4 linked regions of the Coturnix japonica genome follow. The protein of the gene in region 2 interacts with the protein of the main gene of each other region in a pairwise test. Links are inferred from orthologs where the notes say so. Each region holds a gene or a part of one and is shown on either strand. Other genes may lie near its edges. The genes, in order: THAP1, ZCCHC10, SFMBT1 and CEP70.

Region 1 (4,315 bases), on a different chromosome or scaffold from region 2:
GCAGAAGGGTTTGGTGATGTGATGAGCCAAAATAAACAGCTCTCCCAGCTCTGTTATGAATCCTTCCCTAAATACAGGATGTTGCTAAGATGACAGAAAGCTATTCACACTTCCACCATCGCTGCAATAAAGTTCTGTCCTGCATTAAAGTCAAAGCCATGCAGTGAGAGCTGTCATATGGAAGGAGTAAGAAAATAGGACTGGGTGGCTGGCAGATGGGATAGAGCAGAACACTAAGCGAGCTCATTCCCACATCATACTGCAGGCTTCACCATACTGCTCCAGATAGGTTCAGACACTTGCACGGTTCAGAACAATGCATACCTGTCATCACTTGGGAGGAGGTCAAAGAGAATTCTGATTATTCTGCCCCAGAGGAACATACTTTATTCAGAAATGCACACATAATGTATACTACCCGTTTAAAAAAAAAAAAACAAAAAAAAAACCAAAAAAAACCCAAAAGCCTAAGAATGTCTCAGTGAAAGAGACACTGAAACCGATTTTTTAATTCCCTGTCCCCAACATTATTACTACAAATAAAAGCATGAAGATGATCGCATCTTCAATTTTAACAGCCACCAACTGTCCCCTCTTGAGACTGGAAGATCACATTATTAAGCTTCTTGCCTTAACATAAAGAACAAGTCAACAGTCAGATTGGGAAGTACAGATGTCATCCTTGTACAAACTACATTAGGCACAGGAACTGAGAACACAGTTCCACTTCTGGTACTGAGGGGAAGTTTCACATTGCTCAGGTATTACTGATCACTTTAAAGTACAAAACCAGCCCACTGCCTGTGTCAGTTCTCAGTTATAAGAAGTGGATGCTCCAGGTGTGTCCATCTAAATCACATACCAATATTCTAAAATGTCTGACCTACAGCTTTCAAACTTTTCAGCTAAGATGACAAACCAAAGACATAATGTGCAGAGAGAATTCTGCCCATGTTAGAAGCACGAGCAAAAATGGCATTGTTGCCAGACAGCTGCATTCAGACAGAGGCATGTATTCAAGAGCTACGCAGCACATGCTGTGTTACTGCTGTCACTGTGTGTCACAGAGAGCTCATCGTTCATACTGCTCACACGTCACAAGTGAGTTCTTATTCCTTCTTACATCCAGTAAATGGTTGTCAGACATAGCTAAAAAAGTATTTCAAGAATTATGATGCAAAAAATGCTGTATCTCAAAATCAGTATGAATTTAAAAAAAATGCTGTCCTTATTCACTACTATTCAATGTCTTGAAGATACACTGAAAGCTGCTGTGACATAAATAGTAGCACCACCAACTCCTTTTCCATAAGGAGCCACTGTTCTGTGCACTCATAAAGCCAGGTACTGCAATGAATGAGAGAATGTGGCTCAGAACTACTGCATTGATGTCAATATTAAATACCTTCAGCTTTCACACTGCAATAAGTTTTGCAAACAATTTTAAGTGACATAGGAAATATGTTGCTAAGATTGTGGGGAACCGTCATCAAACAGATCTTAGCACAAAAAGCAGACCTGAAAATGGTCCACATTTCACTTTATACCTTGTGCTATGTATGGTCTCTTGCCTATTATTTCCACTTTTCATTTTCTAGATGTTCCTTCTTTATTTCTGCATTAAATCGAACATTGTATACTGTGTGGAAAAATACAGATGATGCCCTGAGCATGAGAAAGGGTTTATGTTAGCTCTGGAACACAAGTAAACTGCCTAAATATGTTCAATATTCAACAGACAGGCACTAGTTTTATATATTGTCAGTGGTGGCCAACACATACTCTGGAAGATCAAGAAAAGTGGCTAGCAGATGGTGCTCTGAATTATAACACAATTTTGCAGTTAATGCTATTTTGTAGGAGGCTGGACTTTTTGGGTTCTTTCACAGGGGCATCTGGATAGTCCTACCTGTAGCCATGACTTAATAGCTCTGGACCTGGCTAACTAGAACAAGACACCTGATGTGAAGCTATAACATTATGCTGATGATTTAATACTAGCCTCTGCAACTCTATCTGCAATAAAGAACACAGCAAGCACTGTCTTCTGATTTACAGGAGAAAGAATGGGCCATCAGTCCTGAAAAGTCCCAGGGCCTTGTATTATCTGTCATATTTTTGGGATGGTCTGATTGTGAACAATCAAAGCCCTACCCAGTGCAGTTAACACCCAGATACAAATGTCAGCCTGCAGTTGTTACAACAGGACAGCACCAGTAACACAACTGCAGTGATGACAAATGGCCTTAATGACAGGAGAAGCTGCACAGTGCATTTCGGCACCTGGGGCTGTGAGCAGTGTGCGCTTACCTTTTCACTGGGCTCAGTGTAACAGAATATAGTGGGCACAGCATTTTCTTTCAGCAGCTTGTTGTTGCACTCCCGCTTGAAGCAGTCGGGCGTGAAGTGCTCGGAGCAGATGCTGCTGTACTTGGTGGGTTTGAAGTTTTTCCTTTTCACCGCCGCCTCCCATTTCTTGCACAGGTCAGGCCTGGTCAAAGGAAACCTGACAACAACAGCTATTTTCAGCGTTTCTCAAACTCTTTATTCACGCCGGGCCCACCATCCCAGCCCCTCTCCCGCCGCCCAGCGCCCCCTTGCGTCGGGAGGTCGCACACCCGCGGCCCTGTCCCCGCCCTGGCGCCCTGCCCGCCCCGCCCCGCCCCGCCCCACCCCGTCCCGCCGCCCGCGCTCACTTGTGGAAGGAGATGGGCTTCTCTTTGTCGTATCGGTTCCGGCAGCGGTAGGCAGAACACGACTGCACCATCCCGCCGGCCCCGCGGCCGCCGCCGCCCAGCGGCGCGAGGAGGGGCTCCCAGGTGCCGTCCGCTCACCGTGGGGCCGCCATCGTGCCCCGTCCCCCCCCGCCGGTGACCCTCCGAGAGGGACGGCAACGGGACGCGGCCTCTCCCAACTCCAAGATGGCGGCACCAGCTTCAGAGCAACTCTCGCGGTGCTACGGCGCGCCGCCCTTGCCCATTGGTGGGTCCTCTCATGGGGGGCGGGGCCTCGGGAAGCAGATCGTCCAATCGGAGCGGCGCTCTGCCTTGCTCCCGCCCCTCGCTCCGGAACTACCTCAGGGGCAGCTGCGGCGCGGCGGCAGAGCGCCCCCAGGGCGGGATGGGGTGCGGGTGTGTGTGGGCTGCTGGGCCCTGCTGAGGTGTTAGGGTGAGCTAACAATACACCGACGCGATGGAGTACAAAAAGTTAACGCGGAGTGCGCTCCGCCGTACCATTCCCTGTATTACACCAGCGACTAACAGCAGCGGGCCGTTCCCCCGGAGCGCCCCATGTCCCGATCTCGCTGTCCCGTGCGGGGCGGGCAGCGGGCGCTGGTGTCGGGAGCAGGGGTGCGGGCAGCGCCCTATGGCGCACCCACAGCGGGAGCAAAGGGCAGGAGCCGCGCGAAGCAGCTCCAGGATGGGGTCCGGAACCCCTCAGAGACACAGGATGGAGAGAAGGGCAATAAGCCGGTCTATAAGCGAGCGCCGAATTCGGAGCGCGGCCCCTCGCGGAGCCCCGCGCAGCCCCTCTGAGCCGGGGGCCGGCGGCGGGGAGCTCGGGGGAGGCGGCGGCGTTGGGGCGGGCAGACGGCGGGACCGGGGCGGGGCGTGGGGCCGGTGGCGCCGGGAGGCGGCTCAGTCCCCGCTGAGAGCCGAGGGTTGCGGGCCCCCGCCGAACGCAGCCGCGCCGCGACACACAGCCGCCGCCGCCGCAGGGCGGGCACCGGGGAGCGCCGCGCCGCGCCGCGCCCCGGCCGGCCGGCAGCATGAGCGGCGGGCGGAGCGGGAGAGCCGCCGTGAAGATGGAGGCGCCGTTCTACCCCGAGGAAGGGCTGGAGCTGCTGCCCGACTTCGTGCCGCTGCCGGGTTTCGCCGCCACCGCCACCGCAGGACCCGGCGCCGAGGCGGCGGCGGGCCCGAAGCTACTGCTGGGAGCCGGGAAGAAGCGCGACCTGCCGCCCGCCGCCCCCTCGCCGCTGCCCGGGCCCTTCGCCCTGCGCCCGCCCGGCAGCGCCCGCGGCAGCGCGGCCGCCCTGCGCCTGCTGCCGCCCTCCGCCGCTCCCCCGCCGCCCCCGGGCTCGGCGCAGGGCTCGGCGGGGGCCGGCGCCGGGGCGGCGGCGAACCGCGGCGGACCGGAGGCCGCGCTGGGCTCGGCGGCGGAGCTGCCGTTGCTGAAGCTGCCGCCGGCCGCCGACCTGGAGCAGCTGCTCATCCAGGGCGGCGCGGGGCTGGGGCCCGGCAGCCCGGGACCGGCGGCGGCCGGGGGAGCCGGCGGGCCGGCGGCGGCGGGAACGTTCCTGTACCGACAGCCG
Region 2 (3,560 bases):
ATACAACAAGGTCTTAATAGGGTGGCAAAGGTAATTCAGACTTGATCCCTTGTCCCCTCCCTCCTAATTAACTGCTGCTCCTCATCACAGTCCCCCTTCCATCCAAAGTGCTGCTACTGTAACTCAGCTCCTCAGTGCCACCCAAAATGAAAACCTTCATCCCCTGCACATGATCTCCATGAAAATGGGCATCACATCCCTCTTCCAGCAGTGCCCCATTCCCGCTGTGCCCTTACAGCAGAAGTCAGGGCTGCAAGCTTCCTAACAACCTGCTTCAGTCATCACAGCTTGCCAGAGCTGTCACAGGGCTGGGATTAGGGTCATCTCTAAGAATACAACTCTTAAATGCCTTTCCCCCCTCCCAGCACCACCACCTCTTCCACACTTTACTACTGTAGCACATTTTGACTGCCATTAAGCGTGAGCCTAGAAAACACCATTTAATAATTCATTAACTTTTTCCCATTAAATAGTACATTCACTAAGGAAGACTTCAAACAATTTTCTGGTCATTTTATTTACAGGTCTGCGGCGTTCTGTAAAACACAGTAATGATTACAGACTAAAACACACAACATATATATTTTCAAACATTTAAATAGAAGCACAGTTTATTCAAAAGTAATACTACACACTACATTCTCCATAAAAATATAAAAAATAGTTTAGTTATTATATTTTACCTAAACAAAGATATTTAAGAATTCTTCCACGTGTGATGTCCCCTCCCCCCAAAAAAAGGGAACTCCAACAATAAGAAACGCAGGAGACAACATCACAAATCAGAAGGTGAATGCTGACTGGTCAAGCCCACCAGAAGAACACCAAAGTTTCACTCTGTAACTGGCAGTAATTGTTCTGCAGTACACTTAGTATACTTGTACAAAGTACACTTCTTTGCATTGGTTTGCATCCCTCATTGCAGATTTTCAGATTCGTATGCACTCACACAGACAATGGACTGATCATACTGCAGACCATAACGCCAGTCACCACATGCCAACAACACAGACTGGTAGTCTTACATTACACAACTTCTGAGTTTTTTTTGCAAAAATATCAAAAGGGAAACTCCCTCCTTTGGGAATTCCATTTAAAGACGGCTCCTCACTGATAGGTCAGTGAAAACAGCCTTCCTCTCTCTGAAAAATAGTGCCATTTTTGTTTGCTACTACCATTTTTACTGACTATTCTATATTGAAAGCTAATAGTTCTGAAACACACCTATTCAAGCCCTTCTTTCAATAGGATACATGTGGTTTACAAAAAAAAGGCACAAAGATGAAACTCCTACGCAGCATCAGTCAATCCTTCCATCGTGCACTGCTCCTCTTTCTTACACGGCCATTGCTGCAAGAGACACCATCTTGGAAAAGTACTACAAATACAAGGACTGTGGAAACAGGCAAAGCCTCTGTACAGTACAAGTAGTATATTCATCATTAACAAATGAACGCTGTTGAAAGGTTTATGTTGCAATTAAGACTCAACCTGGAAGCATCAGGGAAAGCCACCAGAAAAAAAGCTCAGCGGCACATATTAGTTAGCAGTGAGATGGAAGGTCCTCTGTGTGCAACACCACGAGTTCCATTTCAACAGTGACAGTGCACTACAGGCAGCAGTGCTGCAGTTGCTTCTAATAGTTCAGAGGATTTTCTAAATGTAAGTGAAGTTGCCATAAACAGACTAGTAGTATACGATGCACGGCATGATCTGCAATAAAAAGATTTTGCTTTCCAGCATGTAAACATCCAGGTTACTGGGCCTTAGCTCATAGAAACAAATCTGATGATAGACATCTAAACTAAAAAAAGTAAGATCTCCCATAAAATGATAAACCTCAAAAATACTCTTTCAGTAAGTTTCACGTGCCATTTGCTATCTTTCATGTCCTATGAACTACACAGAACATTTAGAAAGTTTTAGCAGTAGAAATGTTGACCAGTTAAACCATTTGGCAACCATGTGCTCAAAACCTCTATAATTCACTCAATAACAGTTCTTTGCTGTAACACATTATTTCTTCTTCTTTTTCTTTGGTGGCTCATCATCAGAACTACTGTCTGTGCTGCTACTGCTACTGCTGGAGGAACTGGAATCTGATTCAAACTCCGAAGATGAGGAAGTACTACTCGAGGATGGAGAAGATGAGGATGTAGAGGAGCTCTCATCACTGTCACTATCAGAAGAGGAGGAGGTAGAAGAGTCATCGCTGTCAGATGAGGAATCACTAGCCGAACTGTCACTGCTGCTGCTGCTGGAACTTGTTATACTTTTAGATCTGAAAGAAAACAAATACACAGATGAGAACAGTCTGCTACAGACAGAGCGCTCTTTATACTCTGATGTAATCCAAAGATCAATTAATTGGTCTGAACATTTCTGGGCCTGACAACTTAGGAAACTTCCCTCCCCCCTTGTTCTCCTCCCAGCTCTCAGTTCTACCTCCTCATTCTGAAAGAACAAATTTTGGCTATTTGAGCAACAGCAGAATGACACTGTGCATGTGAAGTAAGTTGTCCCATACAACATCAAAATGAATGCAGGACTACAGGGGAAAAAGATAAGTGTGAAAGCTGGCAAAGCTCATAGGAACAACTAGCAACTTCATTGGCCTACCTCAACAGAAGAATAAAGTCACAGAAAAAGCATGAATGTGCTCTACTGCTAAAGCTTCAGGCAGAAATTAACGAAGCCTGGATGCCTAGAACTGTAACAAGTGAAATATGAGCAATGTAAATGTTGGTTGGAAATGTCATCAATGATTTCACAAACATTAGAATTGTGCTCAATGGAAACTGTTCTTAGATTACTCCTGACAAAAGGAGCCAAACTTTCTACAATTACACAGTGCTTATGTTTTCAGGGTAGGAGAGAAGGTGTGGAAACAGTCCAGAATAAAGACATTAGGAACACTGGAAAGTGGATTTGTGCATGCTCTGCAGCTTCATTTAGTTCTCCGTTTCTAGCCCTTACAGTAAGATAGCTGTTCTCAACATCAAGGTCTTTAGCATAATACTAATGAACCACTAAAGTTTTTGTAATACATCTGCCATCAGTTCTCTCTCTCCCTGTGTGCAGATATAATGGCTGGTTAAATACAGACTTTTTGCTGACGTAAAACTAGTCACAAGATGAATGAAAAAGGGACAATTTTAAACTGGCATTTGGTATTTTCCGGGCAAACTGTTTCTATCTAAACAGCTTCACTGCATTTCAGACCCATTTATATGGACAAGAATCTGACAAAGGATCCCCAGATAGAGACTTTAATCTTCGTCCTGTCCCAGTCATCCTTCACACCAAAGAATCCATAGAAGCAGTTCTTGGACCTTCAATATTCACACCGCACCCTGAAACCTACTCATGGAATTATCAGCTGTTAACACTTCATACTTCCACCTAGAGGAAAGCAATAGCTACATCTATGAGAGAAGCAGCAAGCAGATACTTGTTGGCAGATGATGCAATGTGTGGTTCTGCTGTCAGTTACAGAAGGAAGACGGTCATAGGATCAAGTAAAATTCACCTATTTTATCTTGTTCTAATTAGGCAATGTG
Region 3 (4,230 bases), on a different chromosome or scaffold from region 2:
AACTCAACATTTCCCCTCCCGTCCCTCAAACCTATTTTTAAGAAGTTGAACAAATGCACCATTTAAGACGTAAACAGACTTCAGTTCTCAGTTCTGTTCTGTAAGTACAGGAGGAAAAGTGCTCCGAAAGCAGGGAGGGCTTTCAGGTCCGCACTCACTGCCTTGGTTTAAAAGGAGTTAATGAGTTCTGTCCAGCTGGGTAATCAGTGCCAGGTATGTGATGTTTCCAACTGAACCCGACTTCCCTTATTTCTGAGGGCATCAGCTGCACTCATGGCAATGCCCTGAAGAGCAACGAACAGAGTTAGTCCTGGAACAAGACAGCACGGCCTACGATGCTGCAGGACGTGCAGGCAGTGGCAGCTCCGTGTCCCACCCCTTACCCTGCACAGGTCACATCCCACAGGACTGTTCTGGGCTCACAGCAACCACCAGCACAGCTCAGCACCTCATGTGTGAACAGGGGCACATTTGGAACTAGAGACTGGGATGAAAAATGAAAACAAGCAGTACACGTGAGAGCGTGTCTGCCTGTTGTAATACGCTCCTGGAACCAAAACCAATTTAAAATCAAATAAACAATAGCTAAAGTCCATCTGCTTCTCTCATAGGGTTTATCAGTATAGAGAAAATCGGGCACTGGAAAAAAACGAGGGATTCAAGTCAGTCAAAGCGCATCATTAAATGAAAAGAACCATTACACGAACGCAACTTTGTTTCTGCACTATCAGCCCCCAACAGAACCGCCCTCACCAAACGCTTCCCAGCTCTCCCGGCTCAGCGCTGCTGTCACTGCGCGGTGCCCGCACAGCCCCCCGAGGGCGATGCCTGCAGCCCGGGCAGCAGCGCGCAGCGCACACGGCAAAGGCTGCGATCAGGGCTGTTATACCTCGGGGCAGCGTAACAAGGCACCCGACACAACGTGCCACCAAACGTGCTCCTCACACCATCTCCAACCACTCACAGCCTCGCCGGGTCAAGCCACCACACGCGTTCGTTCAGCGGCGCTAAATTACGAGCAAAGGGGGAAAAAGCTGCGAAGGAAGAACCGCCCGGATCGATGCGGTGCCGGCTGCTGCCCGCACACACAGCGCCCGGCACCCGGTGCCAGTGCACGGCCCAGAGATGGCAGCGCGCAGCACAGCCCTGCACGGCCAACCCAGCGCGGCTCAGAAGCGCAGCGGAGCCTCCCCTCGCTCGGGAGCCGGCAGCTCCGGGAAGCAGCAGGTCTCCTTCTCGCCGCCCTTCAATCACAGCACGGATTCGCAAAGCAAAAGTAAAAGAGGAAATGGCTGAGTGAGGGCAGGAAGCCCCTGAGCGCTCCTGCAGCCGATCGCACGGACGGACGGATGCCCGCTCGCTCCTTTATGTACAAACCGCACGGCAGCAATGACAGCCACGCAGAAAACGCGCAATTCACTGACAGTCGGTTCGTTCTCACGCCCGCACCGGTTTCCCCGGTGCCGGGACAGCGGCTCCAAACCCCCGGCCGCAGCCGTCGCGCGGGTCGGACCGGTACCGCCGCGAGGTGCCGTCCGAGCGCGTCCCGCACAGCGCAACTCGCGGCGGGTCCCGGGGCAGGTGCCGCATCCCCGGGCGGACGGAGCCGCTCTGCGCACTGAGCTCCGCGCACTGAGCCCCGCTACGGCGGCAACAAGTTTCCGCGGGCGGTTCCGCCGCTCCGTAACGCGCAGCGAAGCGGCACCGCCGGCCAACGCTCAGCAAACGGGGCGGGATCGCGCAGCACCGACACCGCCACCACCACCGACGCCGCCACCGACGCCGCCACCGACGCCGCCCGGCCGCGCTCCTGCCGCTGTTTCCCCCGCGCCCGGCGGAGCCGAGGTCCCAACTTCGGGAACTCGCCCGGCCGCTCCCCCCGCCCCGCCCCGCCCGGCCGCGCATCCCCGGGACCCGGCCCGGCCCGGCCGCGCGCAGCGGCTCCGCAGGACAAAGGCCGGAGCCGCGGGGAGCGGAACGGAGCGGAACGGAGCGGAACCGAGCGCAGCGCAGCGCCGGGCGCGCACACGACGCGGACGCGCAGGCCCCGCGGCGGCGCTGCGGAAAGCGGCCCCGGGAACGGCCGCGCAGCTCCGCTCCGCCCGACGGCGGCAGCAGGGCGGGACGTAGAGCCGGGGCACGGCCGGGCCGGGCGGGGGTGCGGAGCGGCGCGGAGCGGAGCGGCGTTTAAAGGTCCCCCAACAGCGCCATCTTGAACGGGAGAGGGGCGAGCGCGCAACGGGTTCGGATCTACCGCGAGCGCGGGGCGCGCAAAGTTCCCGCGGGGCGGGCAGCGCAACTCGGGGCCGGGCTCACAGCGGGACGGGGGTTAACAGTAGGATGGGGCTCACAGCCGTGGGTTAACGGGGCTCAGAGCTGTGGGTTACCGGGGCTCACACACAGCGGGACGGGGCTCAGCGGGAGCGCGCCGAGTTGCGCGCGGGCACTTGCGCGTCGTGCCGCCCCGCGCATCGCTGCGCGCAGTGCCCGGGCGCTGCTCCCCCCGCGCTGCCGCCGCGCCGCGCTGCCGCCTCCTCCTCCTCCTCCTCCTCCCTTTTCCTTTTCCTTCTCCTTCTCCTCCCTCCTCCTCCTCCCTCGCCGCCTTTTTTTCCCCGCATCCAAACTTCGGGAGCCCGGAAAAACCCCTCGTGCCCCGCGCTCCGCCGGCAAAACGCCCCCACCAGCTGCGGGCCGTCCCGCTCCGCCCGCCGCTGTGCGCCGCCACCCCCCGCTTCACCTGCGGGGAGTTTTTCCAGCCCTCCGCCGCTGCCCGGGCTCCTGCTCCCCGGCTCCGCTCGCCGCCTCATTCCAATATGGCACGGCCCGGCAGAGCGCATGCGCCCGCCGCTGCCTCTCCCCCCCCACCCCCCTCCCTCCCCCCTGCTCTCCCCTCCCCTCCCCGGCGGCTTTCGGCGCTCGGGTCCCTCCCGATCCGCCGCCGCCCCACGTTGCGCCCGCTGCCCCCTTCACCTGCTGCGGCCGCTGACGGGACGCCAACGGCGGGAGCACCCACGGCTGCAGGGCGGACCTTCCATGGGCGACAGAAGCTCCGCTCGCCCCCGGAGGAAGGGCTCCTTGGCGCAGCGATGGGCGCAGACTCCCGGCAGCATCCCGCAGCTCCCGCAGCATCCGCGCAGCACCCGCAGCATCCCGCACGCCCCCGCAGCATCCCGCAGCATCCCGCAGCTCCCGCAGCATCCCGCAGCACCCCGCAGCATCCCGCAGCATCCCGCAGCACCCCGCAGCTCCGCACACAGCTCCGCACACGGGCCGTCCGCTGGAGGGGGGTCTCGCCGTGCGGGACGGGGGTTCCGGGATCCCCGTCGCTGCGTCGCGTTAAGGAAATGGGACAGGAGTGGGTATTTATGAAGGAACCGGCTGTCCTGGGCCGCAGCAGAAGCGGCGTGGCCGGCAGGGCCGGGGAGGGGTCCCGCCCCTCTGCTCTGCGCTGCTGAGCCCCCGCCTGGAGTACGGCATCCTCGGTACAGGAGCGGTACCGACCTGTTGGGTCGCATCCACAGGAGGGTCACAAAAATGAGCCGAGGGATGGAGCAGCTCCCTGTGAGGACAGGCTGAGAGCCGGGCTGTGCAGCACGGTGAGATGAAGGCTGACTTAACTTGAATAATGACAGAAGGCTGAACCCTTTCTGTAAAGGAAACAAGTCACAGATGCAGTGACACAGGCCTCGAGCTGAGCCTGAAGACAGCCCGGCACTTCAGGGCTGGACTCCTGCTCCTTTTCTAAGTCCCTCTGCACGAAGCTGGAGATAAAAGCACATGAACTTTCACAGAGCCTAAAAGCTGCTCTGCAAAGGGGAAGGTAAAAGTATTTTCTCTCTCCAGCCCACCAGCAGAAGCTACCCCTGGAAGTTCTATGATAATGGTATAATGATGCCCCTATTAGGAGAAAGCAGCTTTACAGCACCCTACACCTTCCCTGTGGGATAGGGTGCCCTCATATTTCATTTGTTGGCCATTACAACACTTGCCACCTTCTGCCTTTCTTTTCATAGTTGAAGACTTTCCAGATGTAGGTTAAGGCTGTTCTAAGTGTGCTCACGTGTGCTTAAGGAAGCAGTGACTTTTTGCTGGAAGAATGTGAAGTTGTGTGAAGGATTTGCTTCGCTTTATCTCCAAAAAGGTGAAATGGTTGAAATGACCAGGTCAGGCTTCCTGGATAGATTTGGATTCTAATATTACAGTGGAATTACATTTCTCTTCAGCTCCTTG
Region 4 (4,098 bases), on a different chromosome or scaffold from region 2:
CTTTTTTATTTTTCCTTCTTTCTTTTTAGGAAACGGGTGAATTGTGCATAGCTAATGCAGTAGTGCTGCCTGTAAACCTCTACAAAAGGGAAAGCCGAAAAACAAACAAAGGATTATAGCTCATGTGTCTAAATACAATGCCCTCCTGGCTGTATGGCCTGACTGCGCAGCTGCTCAGACTGAGAGAAATTTCCAGGATTAATCCAAACTTCCAAGACTATTACAGTGTTTGGCTGTTTCTTATGTTTTAGTGACATCTAGAAAATAGAACATTTGCCATTCCAAGCTTTAAGAACAACAAGGAGAAAGAAAACTTTTAGCAGTAGGACCACAAGGCATTAGATGAGACTCACCGTAGCTCCTTTTTCATTTGATTAATTTGAGATTCATAATAATCGATTAGACAAAGAAACCTGAAAAAGGAAAAATGGTATTTTGAACTTAAGATATAGTTACCAATCTATTGGAACAGGATAGCTTACACAGCTACACTGTATTTTAAAAGTGACTGTTTCTCCCTTATATCAGTCGCAGTTTTCCAAAAAAAGAAATATAGAGACATTAAATGCCTATTAGATTACAAGTGGCAAAATGACTCAAGAGGAGACAAAAGCTAAATCCTCCTGACAGCCCTTACATCTCATGGCTATGTTCACCCAGCAAGCTTAACAAGCTGTCACAGTCTTAAGCTGTAGGGCTGCACGGACCATTGGAGGTGATATAACAGAACAGGTCACACACAGCCTAAGAACTTCCAGAGAAACTACAAGTGCTTTCTAAGGAAATGGCTGCAAGGAAATAAAGCCATAGAAAAACGTATAGGTGAGAAACAGCATTTCCTTTTGAACCACTCTGAGATTTTCTGTTTTGTATGTACAGGTGAGAAATGTCAGGGAACGAATCTCAGAGCTTCTTTTTTTGTTGTTTAATGAGGGCATAAGAAACAGAGAGAGGCACACAATCCCTCTAAAATTTCTCCTAGGTAAACATCCTAGGCAGACCTGGATGGACCAGGCCACACCAGCACAGTAAGGCAACAGCCACCTGAGGCCTAGAAGCTGTCAGCTGTCTCTGACTATAGCTGAAAAACAGAGTTACTGCAGGACATGTAGGCTTTCAGAACATGCACAAAGTGCCTGGAGTTTGCTTGCAGTCAGCAGTCACAAAAGCTGTTTTCCCGAGCTGTCTTTGTTGTTGTTGCTTTTTTGCTTTGTTATTTAAATTTACATTCTAAACGTTACAAGTCCCAGAACAAAATCACTGTAGCAGATGCAGTTTCCAGAATAAGCCATTCCGCCCTCTTTGCTGACACCTAGTGGATACAGAGGCCGAGAATTTTTACCTTCTGCCATGCATTCATTCAGCTTGCACTAACATCTCCAACTTGTTTTTTTTTTCCCATGTAAGTATCAAGAACCGTCACTTTAAAATCCATTTATTCATTTAATGTTACAAGTCATTCACCAATATAACAAAATTCCTTACTGCTGATCTAGAAGGGACTTGGGAGCTCTCTTGCAAAACCGGCAGAACATTTCGGTTTGAGTGGCAACACGCTGCTGCTCCTCCAGCCCAGCTTTGCACAGCTCCCTCTGCAAACGGGCAATAATCTCCTCCTGTTCTTGCAGCTTTTCCTGCTGCTGTTGGTATTTTGCCTGTGAAGAGATAACAGGAGCATTCTGAACTGAACTCACAGGCTGGAGATGGTGCTCCACCAACCCACACTTGGTGCTTGGTCCCAAGAAAGCTTAATCAAACAGCCAGTGGAAGAAGGGTTCATATATTTTTTCCAATTTATTACTAGAAAATTATTTGTAAAACATAAAATCAGCTACAAATAGCATATGAAGTTTGACATGAGACTTGTATTTATTTGGACCAATGTGAGCTTTCAAAAGAAGTCAAAAGTTTGAGTGCTGCAGACTGACTTACCTGTGAATCCATCTGTTCTTTATGAAGTTCTTTGACCTGATTCTGTTGCCGGCAAACTTTAGCTATTGTCTCATCTTCCAGCTGACGGATTTTTGCCTTAATGCTTTCCACCACGTTTTCCAATTCATTAGCCCTTTCCTCTTGTCGAGATGCCCGACCTCGTTCCTGTCGTACCTCATCTCTAGAAACACAAATCTTTGATTTAAATTAAACTCATTTCACTAAATGCACTGCAAGAAGCACAGGCCTGGCAAATATTATCCGATGGTGCCCAGTAACAGCCTGCAGCAGCAGGCACAGGAAATATGCCACTATGGGAAGCAAGAGCAGATGCAGTTCAGACAACAGCTCAAGGAGATCTGGGCCAATATTGCTGCATATAGCACAAAAGTCTCAAGAAAAAGGTCTCTGGCTTTGGATGTGACAGAAAACGGGCAGCAATAGTGCTTTTTGCTTTGCACTACCTGCAAATTCCCTTCACAGCACCTTACCTAAGATTACGATTAGTCTCCATAAGCCCGTACATCATCTTCTGTTGTCGGTCGGTGTCTTCCAATAACGTTTTTAATGCAAGTCTTATTCCCAGAGAGGCCTGACTGTCCAAAGCAATCACATCTGGAAGCACACATCATAAAACAACGCCTTAACCAAAAGCTTTTGGTACTTGAAGATGGCATCACCGTTACTGTATGGAACCGATGGCTTCAGCAGCACCTCATGACTTCATGTCTGCTGCCCAAGGACCTCCACCACCAGCACTCCTTACCTGGGGTGTTTATGGGCACCATTCCATGGCGTAACAGCAGCGTGTTGAGGGTCTCCCATTCCGTTTCCTCCTGCTGAAGCTGGGAAGAGGCAGAAACCTGAGGCATGCAAAAGGCACGCTGACGCTCCGGGTAGAAGGGGAAATGGATGCAGTGAGCCGAATTTGTGCTTTCTGAAGAGCCGGACACGCTCTGCTTTGCTTCGGCGCCCTTTTGTGTCACTACCGCGATACTTCCGTCATATTGAGCCGCCAAGGGAAAGGAAGAGCAGGCAAGGAAAGTAAGCGGCCGAACGGGCGATGAGGGCGGGCTCTGAGCCGTGGGGCGGTAACGGTCAGCGCGGGGAGGCGGGCAGCCGCCATCTTGAGGCGGAGGGGAGGAGGGACCCGCGCGGCCGGAGCGGGGCAGGCGGGTAGGAGGGGGGGGTGTGGGTGTGAGGGGTTGTGAGGATGGCAGTGAGTGATGGGGGAGGGAACGTCGCGGAGTAATGCAGAAATAAAGGCTGTGGCTGTAAACTCGCTGTAGGACGAGTTCAGGGGCCTGAGTGGATGTTGGAGGCGGTTTGAGTCCTGGTTGGTGGCTTTGGTGTTGGTGCTGAGCCTCATGGAATGCGGGTGTGTGGTTCCCTCACAGCTGAAGGGAGAGATGTGGTTACAGGACAGCCGTGCTCTTCATTCGTCATTCGTGCTCTTACACAAAACCAGTTTGTGTCCGGAAAATGATGTTTGTGTCACAGCAAACAAATCCGTTAGTCATAACTCCATCCATTCTCAGCATTCCTAGCTGCTATCCTGCTTTTCTTCTTTTCTTGCTGCTGGTTGGATTAAAAGCCCTTTGTTTACTATGGCATCCCGCGAGGAGGTTACCCTCAGTGAAGAAGAAGTAAGGTAAAACAGCAGAGCTGCAGCCCGTACGGCCTTTGGAAAGATATCCCCCACTGCCGTGGTCACTTATGGCTGTACCAAACATTAAACGTGTTCTAAATGGAAGGATATCTTTTCCAGTCTCCTTCCCTGTGTGTGTTTGTGTGTGCAGAGTTGCATTCCCAAATGATGTAGGTAATATTTCTGCTAGAATCAGTAGGTGATGAGCTTATCTGTTACAACTACTTCTCAAGTTCAGAAGGCTGAAGGGGTTACTCAGAGAGCAAATGAAATGCTGCATTTTAAAGCCTGCTTAAATTTACCCGCAAGGAACATCTGAATCCTAAGTACAGTTTTAAACTATACTGCCCCCTGAACTGGAAGCTCCGGAGTTTGGATGGGTATATATCTTTGTATGGTGTTTGTCAGAGCGAGCCTGCTTACCTGCCTGCTTTTGTGATGTTTTGTCATATTTGAATGATTTTAAAAGCAAGAACGTGCAAGTAATTGTGTAAACTTATGACAATTAATTGACTTTG

What was found.
Region 1: the proteins of ZCCHC10 (region 2) and THAP1 interact in binary tests that used the Homo sapiens proteins (3 or more experiments, as listed by UniProt). The two-hybrid records come from large-scale screens. The link is inferred for Coturnix japonica from reciprocal best matches to the Homo sapiens genes ZCCHC10 and THAP1.
Region 3: the proteins of ZCCHC10 (region 2) and SFMBT1 interact in binary tests that used the Homo sapiens proteins (3 or more experiments, as listed by UniProt). The two-hybrid records come from large-scale screens. The link is inferred for Coturnix japonica from reciprocal best matches to the Homo sapiens genes ZCCHC10 and SFMBT1.
Region 4: the proteins of ZCCHC10 (region 2) and CEP70 interact in binary tests that used the Homo sapiens proteins (3 or more experiments, as listed by UniProt). The two-hybrid records come from large-scale screens. The link is inferred for Coturnix japonica from reciprocal best matches to the Homo sapiens genes ZCCHC10 and CEP70.

What each region holds. Positions count from the first base shown.
Region 1 is NC_029547.1:47,539,749-47,544,063, forward strand, and holds the start of THAP1 (THAP domain-containing protein 1), read right to left. Parts: upstream 2,809-4,315; 5' UTR 2,768-2,808; coding exon 2,697-2,767; intron 2,507-2,696; coding exon 2,311-2,506; intron 1-2,310. Other genes in the region: transcription factor jun-D-like, read left to right, coding at 3,770-4,315. UniProt on the Homo sapiens protein: DNA-binding transcription regulator that regulates endothelial cell proliferation and G1/S cell-cycle progression.
Region 2 is NC_029528.1:1,103,177-1,106,736, reverse strand, and holds the end of ZCCHC10 (zinc finger CCHC domain-containing protein 10), read right to left. Parts: exon of another isoform or gene 2,282-3,560; coding exon 2,017-2,281; 3' UTR 493-2,016; downstream 1-492.
Region 3 is NC_029527.1:488,584-492,813, forward strand, and holds the start of SFMBT1 (scm-like with four MBT domains protein 1), read right to left. Parts: upstream 2,856-4,230; 5' UTR 2,738-2,855; intron 1,651-2,737; exon of another isoform or gene 1-1,650. UniProt on the Homo sapiens protein: Histone-binding protein, which is part of various corepressor complexes. Mediates the recruitment of corepressor complexes to target genes, followed by chromatin compaction and repression of transcription.
Region 4 is NC_029522.1:18,786,306-18,790,403, forward strand, and holds the start of CEP70 (centrosomal protein of 70 kDa), read right to left. Parts: upstream 2,832-4,098; 5' UTR 2,805-2,831; coding exon 2,699-2,804; intron 2,548-2,698; coding exon 2,424-2,547; intron 2,114-2,423; coding exon 1,933-2,113; intron 1,656-1,932; coding exon 1,486-1,655; intron 414-1,485; coding exon 354-413; intron 1-353. Other genes in the region: FAIM (fas apoptotic inhibitory molecule 1), read left to right, coding at 3,540-3,583.